Coturnix japonica: one gene and its partners. Each later gene encodes a partner of the first gene's protein in a complex. Links are inferred from orthologs where the notes say so. Each region holds a gene or a part of one and is shown in the gene's direction. Other genes may lie near its edges.

Evidence for each region. Proteins that work in one complex are often made in the same cells at the same time.
Region 2: the proteins of CACNA2D1 (region 1) and CACNA1E are in contact, whole or in part, in a cryo-EM structure (PDB 8EPM), measured with the Homo sapiens proteins. The link is inferred for Coturnix japonica from reciprocal best matches to the Homo sapiens genes CACNA2D1 and CACNA1E. Residues at the interface, in NP_001353796.1 of Homo sapiens: Thr170, Asp171, Tyr173, Ile233, Leu235, Ser261, Gly262, Ser263, Ser265, Gly266, Leu267, Lys270, Ala327, Lys328, Gly329, Ile330, Thr331, Glu366, Gln391, Asn393, Tyr394, Ile416, Gly417; in NP_001192222.1 of Homo sapiens: Gln110, Leu112, Pro113, Glu114, Asp115, Asp116, Lys117, Pro119, Arg122, Asn630, Phe631, Asn632, Asp633, Gly634, Ile1330, Gly1331, Asn1332, Val1334, His1336, Met1341, Val1343, Arg1346, Arg1393, Ser1394.
Region 3: the proteins of CACNA2D1 (region 1) and CACNA1C are in contact, whole or in part, in a cryo-EM structure (PDB 8WEA), measured with the Homo sapiens proteins. The link is inferred for Coturnix japonica from reciprocal best matches to the Homo sapiens genes CACNA2D1 and CACNA1C. Residues at the interface, in NP_001353796.1 of Homo sapiens: Thr170, Asp171, Tyr173, Ile233, Leu235, Gly262, Ser263, Ser265, Lys270, Thr274, Ala327, Lys328, Gly329, Ile330, Glu366, Gln391, His392, Tyr394, Ile416, Gly417; in NP_955630.3 of Homo sapiens: Phe147, Pro148, Glu149, Asp150, Asp151, Ser152, Asn153, Ala154, Asn678, Lys1090, Gly1091, Asn1092, Tyr1093, Ile1094, Tyr1096, Gly1099, Val1101, Pro1104, Ile1106, Arg1109, Tyr1156.

Annotation. Positions count from the first base shown.
Region 1 is NC_029516.1:9,138,492-9,142,643, forward strand, and holds the start of CACNA2D1 (voltage-dependent calcium channel subunit alpha-2/delta-1), read left to right. Parts: upstream 1-1,352; 5' UTR 1,353-1,839; coding exon 1,840-1,934; intron 1,935-4,152. UniProt on the Homo sapiens protein: The alpha-2/delta subunit of voltage-dependent calcium channels regulates calcium current density and activation/inactivation kinetics of the calcium channel. Plays an important role in excitation-contraction coupling.
Region 2 is NC_029523.1:5,968,674-5,972,187, forward strand, and holds part of CACNA1E (voltage-dependent R-type calcium channel subunit alpha-1E), read left to right. Parts: intron 1-1,099; coding exon 1,100-1,191; intron 1,192-1,279; coding exon 1,280-1,445; intron 1,446-1,608; coding exon 1,609-1,736; intron 1,737-3,514. UniProt on the Homo sapiens protein: Voltage-sensitive calcium channels (VSCC) mediate the entry of calcium ions into excitable cells.
Region 3 is NC_029516.1:51,092,132-51,095,645, reverse strand, and holds part of CACNA1C (voltage-dependent L-type calcium channel subunit alpha-1C), read left to right. Parts: coding exon 1-308; intron 309-542; coding exon 543-839; 3' UTR 840-3,514. UniProt on the Homo sapiens protein: Pore-forming, alpha-1C subunit of the voltage-gated calcium channel that gives rise to L-type calcium currents. Mediates influx of calcium ions into the cytoplasm, and thereby triggers calcium release from the sarcoplasm.

The DNA of each region.
Region 1 (4,152 bases):
AAGAAATTGCCATGGCCTCATATGACCTGAACCACGCCACATTTAAGACTCTTTCCCCCATGAATTTTTCCAACCCTTTGCTTGTGAAGTCTCTTCCCTATCTTGGATTTAACCTCAGTGAACCCTATGAAGCAGTACATCTGTCAGAGAAAGTACCCCATATCTGTGGCTCTGTAGTTGCCCACTGCACCTTACAGCAGAGATTGTTGGTGTCCCTGCACCCTGTTAAGACAGCCGAGGTGCTTGGATAAGAAGTTATAGCTGAATCTGAAGTGTTGCTACATGATGTGGCAAAGCAGCAAGGCCTATGGAGACCTGAGGCTGGACTGTAGATACTACTCCAACTACATCAGCTTACAGGCTGCAGCACTGTTTTAGAAATTGCTACTTTAGATTTGCATCCAAACCCTAAATCCTACATACCTACAGGTAGGTGGATAAGTGACGACAACTGGGAGTTCTTCCCACCAGCTCTGAAGTGCCAGTTCCAATCCAGAAACAATGTGGATGAGTGACTGCATGGTTTACAGATTGCAATTGAAATATCGTGCTGGCGTGCAGCCCGGGCAATGCAAACACTCAATTCTCCATTTGTGGATCTCAGCTTTGGTCTTTCTGCCACCTTTAAAAGAGAGATAAATACTTTCCTGTTTTACAGAGGCTGTTGTGAGTTAATACACTCAAGATTATGGTACTCTCTGATACAATGGATGTGAGAATCGCATGAATAGTGCCTGCTCTTTTATTTCCACCTGTTGGACTAATTACCAAAAATGCAGAAAGAAAGAAGGAAAGAACAAAATTTTAGTGAAAAGCTGTTAGTGAACTTTTAATTGCTTTATTAAATTACCTAAGCAATCTTTCTCTGGTTTACTTTGTATAGAGAACATATGACTGCCACAGAGAAGGGCGTATGTGAGCATAAAGGAAGCATAAAAAGCACTCTGAGTTGTCCGAGGGCTCTGCAAACAATACACGCTTTAGAGATGCGACTGAGGAGGACGGAGCCTGGGCACTTGCAGGAACCCCGGGGACCCGCACTGGGTGGTGCTGCTGGGAGCCTCCAGAAAGCCATTTATATACGATTATATGAATGCACCCCAGACTGGGCGAACTGCTGGGCGTGCGGCTGCTGCTCCTCCAGAAAGAGGGAGAGGGATTAAAAGAGGCACGAAGCGCCGTTAAAAATAGCGCGCGGGAGGCTCGGAGGTGCGGCACGCCGCCCGGGGGCCCGGCCCGGCCCGGAGCTCCACGCTCCATGTAAGGAGCGCGGCCGCACAGCGCCCGCCGCCCGCCCCCGCTGCCGGGAGGAAGGCAGCAGCCGGGAGAAAGCCGCCCGCCGCCAACTCTCCCTTCCCTCCTCTCCCTTCAGGAGCCCCCACCCCGCCTCCCTCTCCACCTCCTCTTCCTCCTCCCCTCCTCCCCCGTTGCTACCGCTGCTCCGCAATCGGGGGATAAATCAGGGAAGCGGACACACGCATGGAGTGAGCGGGGATCCGTTACAAAAGTAGCGCTGATGGCGGCGGATCGGATGAAGCTGGAGCTGCTGCCGGAGTAACAGAGAGTGGAGTGCCTCTCTCTCTCGCTTCTCTCTTTCCCCCTCTCCACCCACCGATCTCCATCGTTTCTCCTCCTCCTCCCCACCCTCGGCCGCACTCCCTGCACATCGCTGGGCTGTGCCAGGGGGCGGGCAGGGGCAGCAGAGGAGCCTTTAAAAACCAGAAGCCCCCCCACACCCAGCGCGCACAATAATTGAATTTATTATTATTATCGTCTCGCCGACTTGGGGGAAAAAAAAAAAACAACAAAAAAACGAGGGATCGATCTTCGATCAGGAAGATGGCTGCTGGCTGGCTGCTGGTCTTTAGCCTGACACTTTTCCAGTCTCTGGTGATGAACCACTCCTCGGAGGGCCCGTTCCCTTCGCCCACCACGTAAGTGCCTCCGAGGCAGCGCCGGGAGCGGGGTGGGAGGCAGCGCCGGGCCGGGGGCATTCCTGGCGATGGGGACAGCGGTACCGAGCGCTGCTAAAAGTAACTCTGCGTGGGAAGCGGCGACAAGGGAAAGCAGCAGGGGTTCGGATGGGCAAAGAGTGGAGTAGGGGGGACCGTCACCCGGTGGCAGTCGGACTTCTGGAGGAGAAGGCTCAGCCTCCGACATCGCTAAATATACACAACCCGGCGGCCGAGCCGCGCCGGGAGGAAAGTTTCGAGTTACGAGGAGCCCGCCCCCTCCTCCCACCGGGGTTATTTCGGTCTGGCAGGAGTTTGGGAGCTCTTAAAATAAATAAATAAATAAATAGAATCAGAACTTGAGGGATTTTAGAAACAAATGAACGACGGGGCGATATTGCCGGCCGTTGGGAAGAAGGACGGCGCTGCCCAGAGCTCCGCTCACTCACAACTGGCCGCATGCCAGTGCGCACCGGGAGTGTTTTGACAGCTCCGGGGTTTGTTTTATGTATGTGTTTGTTCGTGTGGTTTCGTGTGTGCGCACGCATGTGCACAAGCCCGGCTTTTGTAGCGAGCTTAAAGCCACACAACTAAGACACTGTTTCCTTCCACGAGCCGGAGAGCCGGCCTTGGAAATAGAGCTTCCCAAAAGCACCTTTGCGAGGGGAAGTGGTACTCGGTGCGAACAGAGCTCGTTTTGGCATGCCTGGGAGGCAGGAATCTTTAAAGCACCGTGCACTTATTAGCATGAAACTGCTGCCCAGAGCCGTGTGGGATCACATAATGAAGGCAGGCAATACAAGGGCAAAAATAATCCAATTCATCATCTTTGAGCTTCAGCTACAGATTAAAATAAGCTCTATGAACTAATGACCGTGTTTTCTTCCTTTAATTTATTTTTTTTCCTCCACTCCTTCTTTGCTTTCCTTATTATTATTATGTTGAAGCACTTACCTTAGTGCCTAATCTGGGCTGAAGCTATCAGTAGGGAACTTTTAAGCGAATGACTCACTTTAATGCATTTTACATAAGAAAAACAGTGCTGATGGGAGTCTTCCCCATTGTTTAACGCTGGGTGGAATTTATTACCCTCGTTCACTCCGTGCAGAAAGATGAGTTTACAGCAATTACCAGCAATGCATTTTCACCAATTAGTACTGCTGGTAGGTTGTTATAATTGGATTCGGTTCTGAGTTTCGGTTCTGCTACACAGGAATACGAAGATAAGTGTAAAATAACCACTTCGGGTCTTCTAAACAGAATATATATAGCCTTTCGTCGAAGGGAAAATTATCTTAAAAAAATAATCTTTTGCTATTTATAAAGACATACCGTATAAAAGTAAGATTTAAAGCCGGGGTTTTAAATCAGTGCTTTCCCTGTGCTTGAGCTCCTGTATCTGTTTCTGTATTGCCAAAGTGTTTCATACACAACCAACCATGCCTGATCTTCTGCACAGGTTTACCTAATTTTGAGAGGGAAATACAGAATCTCGTGAAATAAAAAGACTGTAGAAAAAGAAGATTGTGTAATTTCAGATAGAACTCCAGATCACTTCTAAGCATTACATTAGCTGATATCTATTTAAAATTACTTTTCATATCTGCCTGTGTTTGCTATTTCCCTTCAGAATTTACCTTTACTGCCAGTTGTGATAATAGAAATTGTCAACAGGGAAGCATGTTATATTAATGCAGTTCTAATTATAAACTGTACCTATTATTAAGTAATTATGAATATGGTGTCAGCAGCATTTTCGTATTCTATACAAACTACCTACCATTAGCTTTCTTTTTTCCCCATTATTACTCCACTGAAAAATTTATAGAAACAATGTGTAACACCTGTCCATCCTTCATAGTAATGTTTCTCCTTTTGAAACTAAAGTGCAAGTGAGGCTTGATTAATTTAGGAGACAGCACAAAAGGTTTATAGAGGGAGAGCTGCTTTGCAAAAGTAGTGATGTAACAGGTGAAGGAGAAAACATTTTTCTGAATCTCTTTTAAGACTTCACAGTTAGTGGGCATTTATTTCCTGCTACAGATTACAAATGGGGAAGAACAAAGGGAAGTCACACATAGGAATGCCCTTAAAGCGAAGGATTTTATATTAAGAATATTAAAGATATGAAAGAAGAGAAAATTAAAAAAAAAAAAAAAAAAAAGGCAGGAGAAGAGAATGAAGAAAAGAAGATGTATTA
Region 2 (3,514 bases), on another chromosome or scaffold:
AGCACTGCATGCCCTAAGCTCCTTGCTGCCTCCCTGCTTGTACCACCCTTGGTGATGTGGAGACTCAGCTGGGCAGCCTGTGCTGCAGCTGCTTCCCAGTCACTCCCTCTTCATTCCACAGGTTTTCAATATCATACCCAATCCCTGTCTCCCTGGTAGGAGGGATGCAGTGAGCATTGCTTCGCATCCCAATGGATGCATCACCACACAGTCCCCTGCAGCCCATCCAGTGGTGGCTACACTGGTTGGGATCCCAAGCTCAGGGACCTGTAGCCCTTAGCAGAGTGGGGGTCTGCACAGCACAGGGAGACGTGGGCCTCCCAGGCTCCAGCACAGGCACGTGAGCACAGCACTCACTCCAACACGTGCTCGCGGCGCTGGCTCGGCAGCACGGTGACTAACACCCATGCTGAGGATCTCACAAAGCATCTCTATTAGCACTCAGGATCTTCAGCTGCCCGATGAGCAAGCCACTGTGATAACAAAAGCAATCTCCTGCTGCTCGCTGTTAGGGAGGGGGGTGAAGCAGAATTTCAGAGCACATCTCTCACTGCCTGCCAGCACGGCTGTGTGGTCTCATCCTTCCCCAAGAGCTGCTGGGTTGGTTTTGGCCTCTCCATCCCACACATCTCAGCACCGGCTCCAGGTGTTCTCCATGCTAAGCAACTGCCATCTGACTCAGCCCCCTCCCTGCCGTGTGGTAGTATTGGATTTATTATTATTATTATTTTTTTTAAACATCATTGTGAACAAATCCCCAAGCAGTAAAGTCTGTGGGCGTTATTTGAGCAAAATAGCTGGAGGCAGAAAATATTCCACAATTACGCATTCCAAAAAACCCGTACAGGGGAAGAAATACTCTTGCAGTGAGGGTATTTTTAGGCTCAGGAGAAGTGGAATAAATATTTGACGGTAATAGCAGCACATTCTTCCAATTTAAGGCACTTTGCGAACGTTCGCCACGTCCTATCGTGGCTTTGGCGGTGGGTTGTTGGTAGGATGTTGCCTGGATTTGGGGCTTCTTCACCTCTCGTGGCCCTGGAGATCTGCTGGTCTGGGGCAGGACTGGTGTTGCCTGAACCGTTTTTCTGCCCCATAGGTTTTTGGCAATATCAAACTAGATGAGGAAAGCCATATTAACCGGCACAACAACTTCCGCAGCTTCCTGGGCTCCCTCATGCTCCTCTTCAGGTAAGCAGTTACAGGCTGGGGGTTCAGGGCTCTACATCCTTCCCCATTGCATCCTTCCCTGCTGCTGAGAGTGGCTGTGTTGGTGCAGGAGTGCCACTGGTGAGGCATGGCAGGAGATCATGCTCTCCTGCCTGGAGGGCAAGGGCTGCGAGCCAGACACGACAGCAACGTCTGGGCAGAATGAGAACGAGCGCTGCGGCACCGACCTGGCCTACGTCTACTTTGTCTCCTTCATCTTCTTCTGCTCGTTCCTGGTGAGTTCTTCTCCCTGGCCACAGGGTCATCCTGTGTACTCTCATCCTACCTTCCCTGGGAATCTCAATTCCTTCTTTAATTCCATCTTCCCACACCTTCCCTTCCTTTTCTGCTCCCTTTCCCCCACTTCCCTTTCTCTCCGCCTTTCTCACTTTCACTTAGATGCTCAACTTGTTCGTGGCTGTCATCATGGACAATTTTGAGTACCTGACTCGAGATTCCTCCATCCTGGGACCTCACCATCTAGATGAATTTGTCCGGATCTGGGCAGAGTATGACAGAGCAGCGTGGTATGTAACCAGCTCCTACTCTCCAAGCAGACTCTCCAGTCTGGTTTTAAGTAGGTGTCTCTGCTTTCTGCTGTTGGAAACAACCTGGCTGGGATGCCTGGGATGGTCACGGCAGGGCTGCTCTCACTCATGGACATTACAAGGGCAGCAGCTGGTTCCTACAGTGCCTGGTGGCACAGGCACCTTAGGGGATATCCTGAAGATGCTCATGGTTGGCCATGGTGTTTTCCCATGGTTCCTGCTGACACCCTCCTCCTCTGCCATGCCACAGGCAGGTCCCTCTCTGCATCCTTCCTGTTCTCTGCCCAAGTTGGGCTCCAGAGCCTGGTCCCCAGCACCCACAGTTCCCGTCAGGTTGGAGTGGAGGTTGGCTTGTCCTCAGCCTGGGGAGATGCTGGTTGTCTGCTGGGCTTCTGCTAGGTCACCAGGGAGTTGTGTAGGCTGGGGACAGGCTCGCTCTTATGCACCCACCCTACAGGAGATGGATGCATTTTGTTTCCTGCACTTATTGCTTTGCTGATGAGGATCCCAGTAAGCAAGGCTCCTGTTTGTAGGCAGCACCCTGTTCTTGTGGCAAGGGGATGAGCCACACTGGTTGGTCAGGCTTTGGCTTTGGAGCAGCTCTATGCTGCTCCTCCCAGGATGGTGTGGAGCATCTCGATGGCTGTGTGCAGCCCACAGCAGAGCAGAGAACACCATGAAGGTGTCTTGTGTGGCCCCTTCCTACCCCAGCCTAGGAACACCCTTTTTGGAGCCATGGCCCACCACTGTGCCAGGGTGCTTTTAACTCAGGGCCCTTGGCTGGTGCATGTGTTCCTTAGGGAAGCATCACCTTCTCTTCTAATTTGCCTCTTGAGAAACCAGGAGGTTTTATAAGCCTAATATCATCTCCTGGCACAGTTTCCTGCACCATTTTTCCCCAGCCCAGTTCAGTTCAGTGCTGGCCAGGTTCCTCCCATGTGGCCTCCCACCAGTACCCAGTGCTGTTGCATGGGCAGGTGAGTTGGCTTGTGAGCGGGTAGCTGTGCCTTGGGGAAGGGAGCATGGGTGAGTAGATATCCAGAGGAGATACAAGATGAAACACTCTCTGCTTGGTGAGGGGTTTCTTGCCTGTGAATATGGGGTGGGATTTCTTCATGCCAGCCACTCTCTCACCCCCATGCTGGGTCCCAAGGGCAGTTGCTGCAAAAGCCCCTCTCTGATTTCTGAGCAAAGAAAATATCACCCTTTGTGGTGATATGTAGCTGGCAGGTAGGGGCTGTGAGCAGATGGTGCTGTTGTGGCCACTGGGGAGCTCTGGCCCTCACTGTGGGGATGAAGAACAGGTGAGTACATCCCAGTGGGTCCCACCACCTGCGTGGGGCACAGCTCTGCACCCTGACACTGGGAATGCTTCAGGAAGGGTCTCAGGGGTGACCACACATGTCTTACTCCAGGGAGGCTCAGGGACTGTTTTTGCCCACATGGTTGGCTTAGCTCTGGCCAGTGATGGAGAGGGGACAAGGAGAGTTGAAGGAGAAACCTGAGGCAAAGGCACAGGGTAAGGGTTGTAATGCTGCTCTTTGCCTCCCTGTATGGTTTCCCTCCAAGCTTGTCCAAGGATGCCCAGGAGGCTGCAGCACGCTGCACCTCAGCACATCCACCCCGCAGTCCTGCTTCCCAAAGGGCTCTGAGCTGGAGCAGGGTGAAGAGCTCAGCATCCCTGCACGCGGTCCTGCCAGCTCCCCACCTCGACTGCTTCCTTATTTCAGCAGTGATGGAGGGATATGGGCTGTATC
Region 3 (3,514 bases), about 42 Mb from region 1:
GCCTGAGCCCCCTCCTCCAGCGAAGCCATTCCCCTACCACGTTCTCCCGGCTGTGTGCCACACCGCCTGCTACACCCTGCAGCCGAGGCTGGCCACAGCAGCCCATCCCAACGCTGCGCCTTGAGGGGGCTGAGTCCAGCGAGAAGCTCAATAGCAGCTTCCCATCCGTGCACTGCAGTTCCCGGTTCCCCGACAGCTCAGACTGTGGCAGCCCAAGGAGAGCCAGGCCAGTGTCCCTCACCGTCCCCAGCCAGACAGCGGGGAGCAGCAGGCAGTTCCACGGCAGCGCCAGCAGCCTGGTCGAAGCGGTAAGGCCACGGTGGCATGGGGACGTGGGTGGTACAGAGGCCAGTGTAGGAACATGACCCTTGGGAGGGCAGGATGCACTGCAAAGCCAAACCCATCTCTGAGCAAGGGTCAGCAGCATGAGTGGGAGGAGAGGGGCCAACATGGCCAACAGGGAGATGCTGTATGGGTGCAGTAGGGCTGGAACTCATAGTGCTAATGTCTGCTTTTGTCTCTGGTTCTGCCGCCTCCTGAAGGTATTGATTTCGGAAGGACTGGTGCAGTTTGCTCAAGATCCAAAGTTCATTGAGGTCACGACCCAGGAACTCGCTGACGCCTGCGACATGACGATAGAAGAGATGGAAAACGCAGCAGACAACATTCTCAATGGTAACAGCAAGCAGAGCCCCAATGGCAACCTGTTGCCTTTTGTTCACTGCAGGGACGCAGGGCAGGACAGTGCAGGCGAGGAAGAGGAAGAGGTGCAGAACCCGGATTGTAGAAAAAGTCAGGAGGAGCTGAAGGACAGCAGGATTTATATCAGCAGCCTGTAGTTGCCAGGGCTGGAAGCGATGCTGGTTTTTTATTTGTTTCAATGTTCCTAATGGGTTTGTTTCAGAAGTGCCTCACTGTTCTCGTGACCTGGAGTAACCGGAACAGCGTTCTTCATTCATTTCTGTTGGGATGAGTCGCAGAGTTGGGTGGTGGCAGAGAACTTGTCAGGAGCGGATAGGACCCCGGCACGCGTCCGCCTGGAATGAGCGCGGTGCCCAGGAGGAGAGTCAGCTCCCTCTTTTTCCAGTCCCTGCACAAGGCACGATGACTGCCTCCCAAGGGCGGCCCAGCCAAACGCGCCCGGCCTCCAGCGGGCATCCTTCAACTTTGCTTGTAAAAATCATTTTGCACATGTTCTGTCCGAGCCTCACCGCCCCCAGTCACCCTGGCCCCGCTGCCTGGGCCCGGAGGACACAGCACCGCCAAAAGGGGAGCATGGGGACTGCAGCGGCTCCTGCTGTTGGCCAATCAGAGCTCGAGGGTCGCTCGCCAGCCAACCTGAGCGTGGGCAAGTCACCTGCCAACCAATTGGAGTTCAGACAGACAGCCGCGCCAGCCAATGGGAGAGCAGGGAGTGGCTGGGCACGGGTTTCTTCTTGTCCCGCAGTTCGGTGTTTCCTTGAGAGCATGTTGCGGTTTTTATTTTGACTATTTTATTTTTATTATATTTTTTCAGAGGGAGAAGGGAGTGTTTACAAGGTTCTGTAACCACCTACCTTTTTGTTTGGGTTTATTTTCACCTTTGCAGATGTTACGTTGGTTTGACCATGTTGTTTTATTTAAGCCAGGTTCTTTTCTCCATTGGCATTTGGTAGAAGCATAACACTGTAGGCAAGTTTTACCGACCACTATGTACACCAAGACTCTGTCATTTGATTTGCTACCGAGCGGAACTTCCTTTTTTTGTTGTTGTGTTATCATAGAACGGCAGCGGGCAACACGCTTGGCACAGCCCCACAGGTCCCAGGGACCAATGGGGCCATTGGGATGCAGCGCCAAATCAGCGCCCGCTGTCGGGTGGGGAACCAGTAACTCTTTGCATCTTCTGTTCCACAAGATATGCAAAAACAATGCAATAATATTAATTTTAAAATACAATCATAAGTCGTGTTGGCATTAAAACTGTATAGAAAAAAAAAAAAGAAATTATTGGGGTTGGGGGAACAACCAAGCAGAAGGCGTTACGCTTCAATATATTCCGTGTGATGTTTTATTGCATTGATGATGTTTCTGTTGAAGAAACCGTTATACTTGAATTCAGGTCAGTTTCGGTATTTTTCAAATATTTTTTTAAAAGGAATTGCAATTGTGCCAAGCAAATATTATCAAATCGAATTCAGTTTGTTTTAAAAGAAAAAGAAAAAAAAAAAAAAAAAAAGAGTCACTTCTTGTATATTTTGCTGCATGTCAAGTGAATCATTTCGTATTTGGAATGTGCCAAGCTTTACCTTTGAACTTTTAAGTGCTTTTCTACGTGTGGTCGGGGACAGGGGTACTATATTTTGTTTTATTTTTTTCCTTTTTTAATTTGTACAATGAACAAAGTGTACCTGGTGTAAGTAACTATTCTGCAATTCACTGACAGGTCGAACGTTACTGATTTTGCATATCTTGTGTTCATTACCCTTCCTCCTCACCCCTTTAAATATGCACGATGACTTTGTTGGTAGAGAGTACCTTTCTTCCTGAGGCCGGGACATTTTGTTCAGGCTTTGTTCTCTTTCCTTTTGCTCAGCCTCTCCAAAGCTCTCTTCCCACGAGAGAGTGGCGAGATACCCAAGCCCATGTGGAAGATTCATCCCATGTCTTCAGCTGGCACCAGCAATTCAGGGAGGGGAAAAGCACCTGCTTGCAGATTGAGGTTAGGTAGTTCATCCTGATAGTTGTAACAGGATGGTGGGATAAGCAAATGCAAATGGCAGAATCGTTTGCAAAATAAATGTGCCTAACTCTGGACTGAAAGCATTGGGTAAGTGAGGGACAGACTCTGGATTGTTGCTTAGGAAAATTGCTGTGGTCTGGTCATGACACAGATGTTCAGTGACTTTTGTCTGTTTCCATGCATGTTCCCAGACCTTAGCACATGGGTCACAAAACACCTGATGCCACAGCATATCCCAGCCATATATCCCTGCTGCTGAGCATGAACCTCTCCTGATTCACTCCACGATGGCACACAGCGGCTGAGAAACCAGGGAGATATTATTAGATTTTATGCGGCTGATTTCTGTCTAGACTGCTGCTGATTTTCTCCCTTTTCAAGATGTTTCACAAACTTGCAGATGAGTACTCAGAGGTGTGATCTGACTCAGAGCTAAACTTTCATTCCAGTCGTGAGCTTCACAGATGTTTGATTACATCGTTTATTATGTATTTTCGTAATGCCCTTGGGTTTAATTCTTGACTCTGCTGGGGCCATTAAGCAGAAATAGTGGAAGATATTTTTGAAAGTGCACTTTTTTCTTGTTACTTTGAACTGGCCAGTAGCAGCTCAAGATGCCTTGCCAACAAATCCTTTTAAGCTGGGGAAATGTGAACCCACTTAAGCAACCATCTGGCATCACAGTCCCAGTCCAAGTCCCTGGAGAAAGCAACCACCTGAAGTCTGTCAGCCTCATTTTTTCCATCCCTCTTGTCTGTACCATGATTGGCATGTGAGCAATTCTCCCTTTGT